2 linked regions of the Drosophila melanogaster genome follow. The protein of the gene in region 2 purifies or fractionates together with the protein of the main gene of each other region. This does not show direct contact. Each region holds a gene or a part of one and is shown on either strand. Other genes may lie near its edges. The genes, in order: P32 and Chchd2.

Region 1 (3,852 bases), on a different chromosome or scaffold from region 2:
CATTGAATCCACAGTGGGCCAGAACCCGGGACACAATGACCTCACCGGTAATCAGCGCCGACACCAGAGTGGAGGAACAGCCTAGGTCTACCAAGTACCAGAAGCAGCTTTGGTTTAGTTCCATGACTCGTATCCTTATGTAAATTATTTAGTGAATGTTTTATAAATAAGTTCAAGTAGCGAACTATAAAAAATGTTATATTCAGACAGAATCCGTCTTTGAGTTTCTTAGAAGTATATACAAGCCTATGATTAGGTAATGGTCGCAGTTCTTATTATTGGTCGTATAAAAAAAAGCTTTTTAACGAAATATATAAAATCCATCTTAATGACAAAGTATGACATTACATGGCCTCCACGCTGATAATCCTGCTTATTGTGAAACAATAACACATATAGGTCGTACATTAATGGTAAATCCCATCGCCCAATAAACAGATCGGAGTACTTCCCCAAGAGAAAGGTCACTATTTCAACGATAAGGTGAGGCAATCTCACCTATAAAGAGGAGCATTAAAAGCTGCAGCACCACAATCTAAAGTTAACTTGCCGTTAATCAAGATGCAACTGCTGCCAATCCTCGTGCTCCTCGCTCTCCTCATCTGCGCCGCCTGCAAGAACCACGAGGACTGGGGAGGATACCGACCAAGTGACTACGATCCCAGGCCATATTTCCGGCAGTTCTAAATGATCACGAAACTCAACCCACAGGAAAATCTTTACGAAAAATCGATGCAACCATAGAAAGAAAATAAACAAAAAAAAAAACTAGGGAATTAACGTTGTATTTGTTAAAAACCAAAGCGAAGCTGATGCCGAAAAGGGTGAATTATTGGCAACCGTTTCTATAGTTTTATCTGAAACATGTATGAATGTTTTATGGCTTAAAAACTAAGTTTCACTGTCACAGTTAAACCAAAAACACAACTAATAAAAACTGTTTTAGGTGATGAAACTGCGACAGCAGACAATAGAAACTTAAAAACCTACACAACTTTATGCTTTAAGATTAAGTGGGACGAACATTCACTTGCCACCGGCAGTGAATTTGGAGAGCTTTTCCAGCAGACCAATGTAGGAAGTGTGCTCATGGGCAGTGGCTAGGTCCGACAGTTTTTCGGCAAACTCCTGACTGATGCCCTTCTCCTCCAGCAAGTTGATCAGCAAGTCGTACAAGTAACCGTCAAGCACGTCGCCTGCGACGGCGTAGACCTTATCGTTCCACTCGCCCTCGAAGATGGCCATTTCATCAATGGAGAAGACATCGTCTGAAAGGTAAAACCTGTGTTATCGGTGAATCAAAACGATTTCTGTCAAAGTACTCACTGTACTCGCCCTCCTGAGCTTCGCCTTGAAGGAAGCTGCAGGTAAAGGACAGCGTAGAGTTGCCCTTTATGATGTCCACCTCGAACTGGGGCTTGCTTCTCATTTCACCGAGATCCGGCTTGTCAGCATTGGGGTTGATTTCGGGCTCCTCCTCGCTGTCCACCGTATGGTTCACATTGAAGCTGACCACCACCTTTTCCTTATCCGTCTGCTTGGTGAGCTCCACATCGGCGCCGGTCAGTTTTACGGCGAATCCATCCAGGGTGCTTGGCACCGTCTTGCCCTTTTGAACCTTGCGCTCGGCCACTATCTCCTCGGTGAGGAACTCCACCAGTTCCCGCTCACCTGGATATAAACAAAGCGTTTAATTTTCTGTGTTTTGGTCAACATTTCGTCACCCAACGTTTGAGGTTATGTAACCGGCGGCATGGACCGCCCATGTAAGAATTTGTTGAGTTAACTTACATTTGGTGTGCACGTTGCAGCCGCACGTGCAATTAATGCTGGGCTTGTGGAGATTCAACACGGTTACATGATCGGATCCTCCGGCTGTCACCGGCTTTTTGGTCATGTGCCACAGGCTGCGGGTGAAATCGCGCTTGCCGAGAGATCCGGCACTGGAGCTGGCCAGAGCGGCAAATCGCATGGTTGCTGTCCTTAGGCTGTTCATTTTGTTATATAACCGCGACCTGGGCTTTTTACTTTAATTAAACACTGAAATGTGCAACACGCCAAAAGTGTAGTGCCTGGTGTGACCGTTGAATCTTATTCAGAAAATCACGAGGCTGATGTATTGTAGAGCCATATCAGAAGTTATCGATCATTTTTCGGCGCGAAAGGCTTTATCGTAAACTATTCAAATTTTGAAATTAGCCTTTATTGGAAAAATGATTGATTTCAATAAATATAACCAAACCATATTTGCTGTAAAAATTCAATGTTTCATAGATCCGAACCTATTAAAAGACCACATTGAGTTATGAAAAAAATGACGACTTTATTAGATTTACGAATTGCTTATCGGATGTATACAACAATATACACATTACAAGGACATACACAGTAATAAAAACTAAACACCATGAAGGGTTTTCTCTGGTTCTTGATCCTCCGAGTGGAAGACCCATTCCTACGCAATATTATCATGCATGCAATCAGACTCGTTCGTCATATATATCATTGTTTTTCAACCAAAAGGCATATCATTTCATCTTTCTAAAATTTCAATAAAATCTATCACAATATGAGAAATCATTACATTACGTTTTTTTTTGTAAGATTTAAAAATATTTTATATATAGCTTTTATCGGGATTTTCCATTTTTAAGACTTTCTTATGTTAAGATTTAGACATTAGGCGTACATATACGTATAAAAATATATTAATTACGATGAAAATTGCATTTTACACGTTTTAAAAATAAAATTGCCATTGTACATTGTATTTATGCAACTTCTTTAGTGGGACGGACAACAGCTTAGAAATTAAACATAAAATTATTAAAATGCTGATTTACGTTGATTGCCAACCAAGCTCATTATTTCCATCCAAAGCTTACAAGTTTAGCGTTAAGGCCTAGATTCGACACGATTTTATACTATTTATAAGGCTTGCTGTTGTTGCAGTGTTCATTTATTTTCGCTTTCTTGTGCGTTTTTCCATCTGATGATGTGGGGGCTGCGGTGTCAGTTCTTATCAAACAGCCTCATAGAAGTTTTCTTCGTTTCTTAGCCTAGTTCGTACTTTTAATTACATTCTATGTTCAATTCCTTATAGAGCTTATGTTAGATACAATTTTACGCTTTTGTTAGCCACAAAGCATAGAGCTTTAAAGTCTCTGTCGCATTCTGTTAGTTCTCCACAAAACAAACTCATATAGAATAATTAATCATTCAGTCTAACAAAATACTTGTTGAATATTCGATTGAATTTCGAGAAATAATTGGGGCTGGTCCGCTTCGGGTTCGATTTCGGTATGCATGATATGTGATTAAATTTGTACAGCTCTAATATTTGCACTTAAAGATTATACATTAAGAGTACACATAAGGGGCGACACAATCGGGCTGCGTAGCCAAGAGCCGGCACTCCTATTTTGGACAGCAAAGGTCGACGTCAGGGGAATGCGGAATGCTTCGGGTTAGCTCCAGGCTGCGGCAGCCCGCACACTACGTTGTCAATAAATTTAACTAAATTTTGACAAAGAAACTAAGCTTACGCAAATTTTACATCAAATTAAATTACAATACAAGCTAAGTAAAAAAGACGCAACAGCTCTGCTTCCTATCTTTCGGATGCGTTTCAAACGCATCCGAGACTGTCGTTTACATTATTCGCAAATTGGGTGGGGGGTTACTATAACTAACAGCAACATAAACAACGAAAATATGTTTTAGAGTATAGAAATTCGACTAATTTTGCAGTTGGCTGCCCTCACAAGGCCACTAGATGTAAGTGCGTTTCACTTTTGTCAGCGTTGACGTTTTGCAGGGCAGCTCTTTTTCCAAATGTTCCGTGGAGTTTTT
Region 2 (4,044 bases):
GATGGTTCTTTATAACTCTTTGTTTCTTTTTTTATATATATATATATATAGACACTGTTTTTCGATAATAGGAGACATCAGTGTTACTAGAGTCGAAAAATTTGTAGTTGTTACATACGTATTGCCCCATTACAAAAAAATTGTTAATCCTAAAAATCAATACGCTGCAAAATTATGAACAGTGATGACTCTATGTAAAAATTATTGAATAAAAACGGAAACATGAATGTCTCGAACGCAGGGATTAGTTCATAATATTTTTTTGGGTGGTAATTTAGGGAACCTTTTAAACAGTTCTTAACTTTTCAAAATTACGTTTCCACGGCAAATATTTCATAAGACCATTAATAAGATCTATGACTAATCGCTCGTTTAACCATGAATATGTACATCTGTATGTGTATAGCATATAATAGAATATATATGCTATATAACCCTTCATTTATAACTAAACAGCAAGTAGGTAAACATGTTTATCATATTTCCCATTTGTTTACCACCTAATTTCAACAAAACAAAGCGCATTGCAATCAAAACACAAGAAAAGCTGAAATGAAAGACACGTGACAATGAAAAAGGCGAAAAGGGGTTCCCATACAAATGTATAGGGAAATGAATCGATTTTCCTATTTATAGAAGTGCAATGTCACCAAAATTATTTTTGGCAACCGCATGCAGCCACATTTCACAATAGAATGCAAATTTTGCATTTTCCAGAAGGAGGAAAAGGGAAAGTTGCATTTTTTCTAGAAGCTTCTTGAAAAATGAATATTTCAAAGATTTTCTTGGCTCCTTGTTTAGACAACAATTATAACTTGATATTAACTTATGCATATATTTATATTTTAAACAATAAAAACTCTTGGAAACTTCGTTTTGTTTTGGCCCACATTGACAACCCGTGGGGTTTGGTTTCTTTTTTGTTTTGTTTGTTTGTGTTTTTTTTTGGAAAGGGTTTTGGGCTGCCAACGGGATTTTCTATTTAACATTTCATTTTGCACTACAATTAAACAATGCTTTCTTTCAGATGCTTGCAATTAAACAATTAAGAACTAAACGAAGGGATAGGACAGAGTTCATCCGGAGGTGTTCATCCGATGGGTTCATCCGGCTGCGTTCATCCGCCGGTGCTTGGCCAGATGATATTCTACCGGAGCTGGGCCCTCTACTGGAGATGGTGGCTCTGCTTGCACTGCCGCAGCGCCTCGTTGAATCCCTCGCAGAGGGTAAGATCCGCCTGACCCTGGGCGCACTGGATGAACTGTTTGAGCTCCCAGGCGCAGGCTCCCTGCGGCTCATTGGGCTGCTGCTGCTGGGCGTAGTATGGCTGCTGGGGGGCAGGAGCGGCTGCCGCCGGAGCGGGAGCAGCGGCCTCCTTGTCGCCAGATCCGCTGAACAGCGAGGTCAATCCATGACCCACGGTGTGTCCAATGGCTGAGCCCACGGCCACGCCTCCAGCGGTGGCGGCCATCTGCTGGAACATCGATGGCTGCTGCGGTGCCGGCATGCCGACGGCACTGGGAGGAGCGCTCATGGGCGCCGGAACAGGGGCAGAGGCGGCCGGTGCTGGGGCACGTGTCTGGACAGGAGCCGGGGCCGGGGCGGGGGCACGGGCCTGCACAGGTGCGGTGCTGTTGGGAAAACAGAAGCAATCAGTTGTTATTGTGGACTTTGCTCTGGAGTGTCGTTGATCATTCCGTGACGAAATTGAAGGGTCTTTGTGTTGAAAACAATGAACTATACAAATTTAACTAATTCCTAGGATTTTTAAAGGACTTTATTTTATATCTACTGCAAAAGTAGGTAATATTTTTATATTCCTATGCAAATTCTTGTTTTCTTTATAATAAGCCAAATTGTATAAACATTTGAATATTTTACTTTTTTAACGCAAAATAAAAACATGTGATGTTTTTAATTTAATAAATCAATGGCCTGGGATATATATATATATTTACATAGAACAATAAATTTAGTAAATTTCTTACAAAAATGGATTTTATGAGCACTTTCGTAATTGAATAAGTAGCCAGATTTAGCGGGTCTTCCGCTAGGAGGACAGCACCAATAAAACATCCCATGTTATTGGGAATCCTCTTATTTTTAAGGTTACGTAACCTTAACCCATTTCGGGGGCCGGAAAAAGCGGCGGAAGTGAAATTCTGTCCATGAGATAAAGCCAGATCATCCGATTGATTGGTCGGTGATTACGAAATGAATTTCCTGCCGGCGCTTTATCCAATTTCCCCCGAATTTTCTTTGTTTTTCGCGACTGTCTTACCGACGAGTGGAGGGCGGGGGACTGGCTGAACGTCCACGGCGAACCATTTTGTTTGTTTTATTTGTTTTTCTATTGATTCGGTTTCACGCAAGAATTTTATTCTCAACAGTTGTTGCTGTTTTGATGACGAGCTAGTAACTGAAATTCCGAAATAATCCCAATTGGACGAGAAACTTCGGCCTGCTGCCAGTGTGGCCGGAGAAAATACCGAAAAATACTAAGGCATAAGGTGTAAACTATCGGATATAGAATGTGCCAGAAAAGTTAATAATATGGGTAAATTCTTATGATTAAAAATATATTTTACTAAAGTATTTGGATATTGTATTCGTGTAAAAACGTTTTACCACCCTTAAATTTACTATGTAATATAGTAAAATTTTTGTGTATTTTATATATCCCATATATATAATCTTTACATACCACATATTTTTTTCCACTTACAAAATCAAATAAAGAACTATATGTTATAAATATATATGCATTACGATTTAAATAACTTTTTATTTTACAGTCAGTGAAATAATAACATTTAATACTCAAGCATATCAAAATTTCTATAAGGTGACCGTAATAAAGAAAATTTGGCATGCGAATTTCAACTATCGCCACCCGTTGTGACTGGCAAAACCGCGAAATGCCGCATATCGATAGAAAGTTCGAAATTTGTCATTAAAAAAGTGGCTTAAAACTAATAGTATGCCTGAAAGCAGGGTATATTTCTATGAAGTACATATAAATGTGCAACTCAAGTAGCAAACGCGTTCGAAAAAGTGATTAAGTCGAGGAATAATCCCCACTCATGGCCGCCTATCTCCGTTCGATAGTTCACTTGTTGCGCAGCCCTGGCAGCCGGAATGCAACCGTGTGCGTGTCGGCGGAAGCGGACTCTCTGGCGTTGCTGCACACTGCCGTAACATGTTCTTTTTCAGGCGTTTGCCTTTGCGCTGACATCGTATCTCGATTTCTTCTGTGACAAAGTAAGGGATTTTCAACGTTTAATTGTGTGGATTGTGGCCAGAGGATGGCCAAAAGACGGCTAAACGCTGGCAACTAGTGTGGATACTAAGGGTTTTGTGAATTTACTGCGGCAAACTGCGGAATATTGCCATTTCCACCGAAATGAGGTTAAAAACGGGCGGCTTTTTGTTTGTGTGTGTGCGCGCGAGTGCAACTGTGTGTGTGCGTCACACGTGTTTGTTTCCCCTTTTTTTTTGTATATTTTTTTTATCTGCTTGCAGCGCAAGAATATGTTTAATACAATATACATCCACGTATATTGAGCCAATTATCCAAAAGGATAACCTTCAAGAAAGTATAAACCCTTAAAAACTCGCAATTCAACAACAACAACGCGCGTGTGTTTTTTACGGTGCTTATGCGTGTGTGTGTGTGCGTATAGCGCCCATCTACAGTTTAAAAAAAACGTGTTAACGCAGGAAAACTACTTAAATATGTATTTAAAAGTTATTGTGACCCTTTTTGTATACTTAAACGTAATCTTCACTGAAACTTCCGTCTTTCATAAACCTTGGAACTTTTTTTGTAGTTTATTTTTGTTTTAAGACGTTTTTAAGATTTAAAAACGAATGTTAAGGCTCTAAAAATTATTCGTATCAGTTTATCACAGCCTTTTCTTGGGTTTTGTATTTGTAAAAGAATTTTTCAAACGAAATCTAGTTAAAGTTATAAACAATTTGTATGTGTATAAAATTTGTACAAAAGGGACGATGTTTCCATAAACAAATACTGAAAAACACGTT

What was found.
Region 1: the proteins of Chchd2 (region 2) and P32 purify together in Drosophila melanogaster (affinity purification with western blotting, with the first as the bait; one study listed by BioGRID). This does not show direct contact.

Annotation. Positions count from the first base shown.
Region 1 is NT_033778.4:17,670,539-17,674,390, forward strand, and holds P32 (P32), read right to left. Parts: upstream 2,103-3,852; 5' UTR 1,997-2,102; coding exon 1,792-1,996; intron 1,672-1,791; coding exon 1,327-1,671; intron 1,269-1,326; coding exon 1,027-1,268; 3' UTR 771-1,026; downstream 1-770. Other genes in the region: IBIN (induced by infection), read left to right, coding at 562-687; Sema1b (semaphorin 1b), read right to left, coding at 3,772-3,852.
Region 2 is NC_004354.4:17,147,421-17,151,464, reverse strand, and holds Chchd2 (Coiled-coil-helix-coiled-coil-helix domain containing 2), read right to left. Parts: upstream 2,465-4,044; 5' UTR 2,329-2,464; coding exon 2,282-2,328; exon of another isoform or gene 1,989-2,281; intron 1,632-1,988; coding exon 1,166-1,631; 3' UTR 818-1,165; downstream 1-817.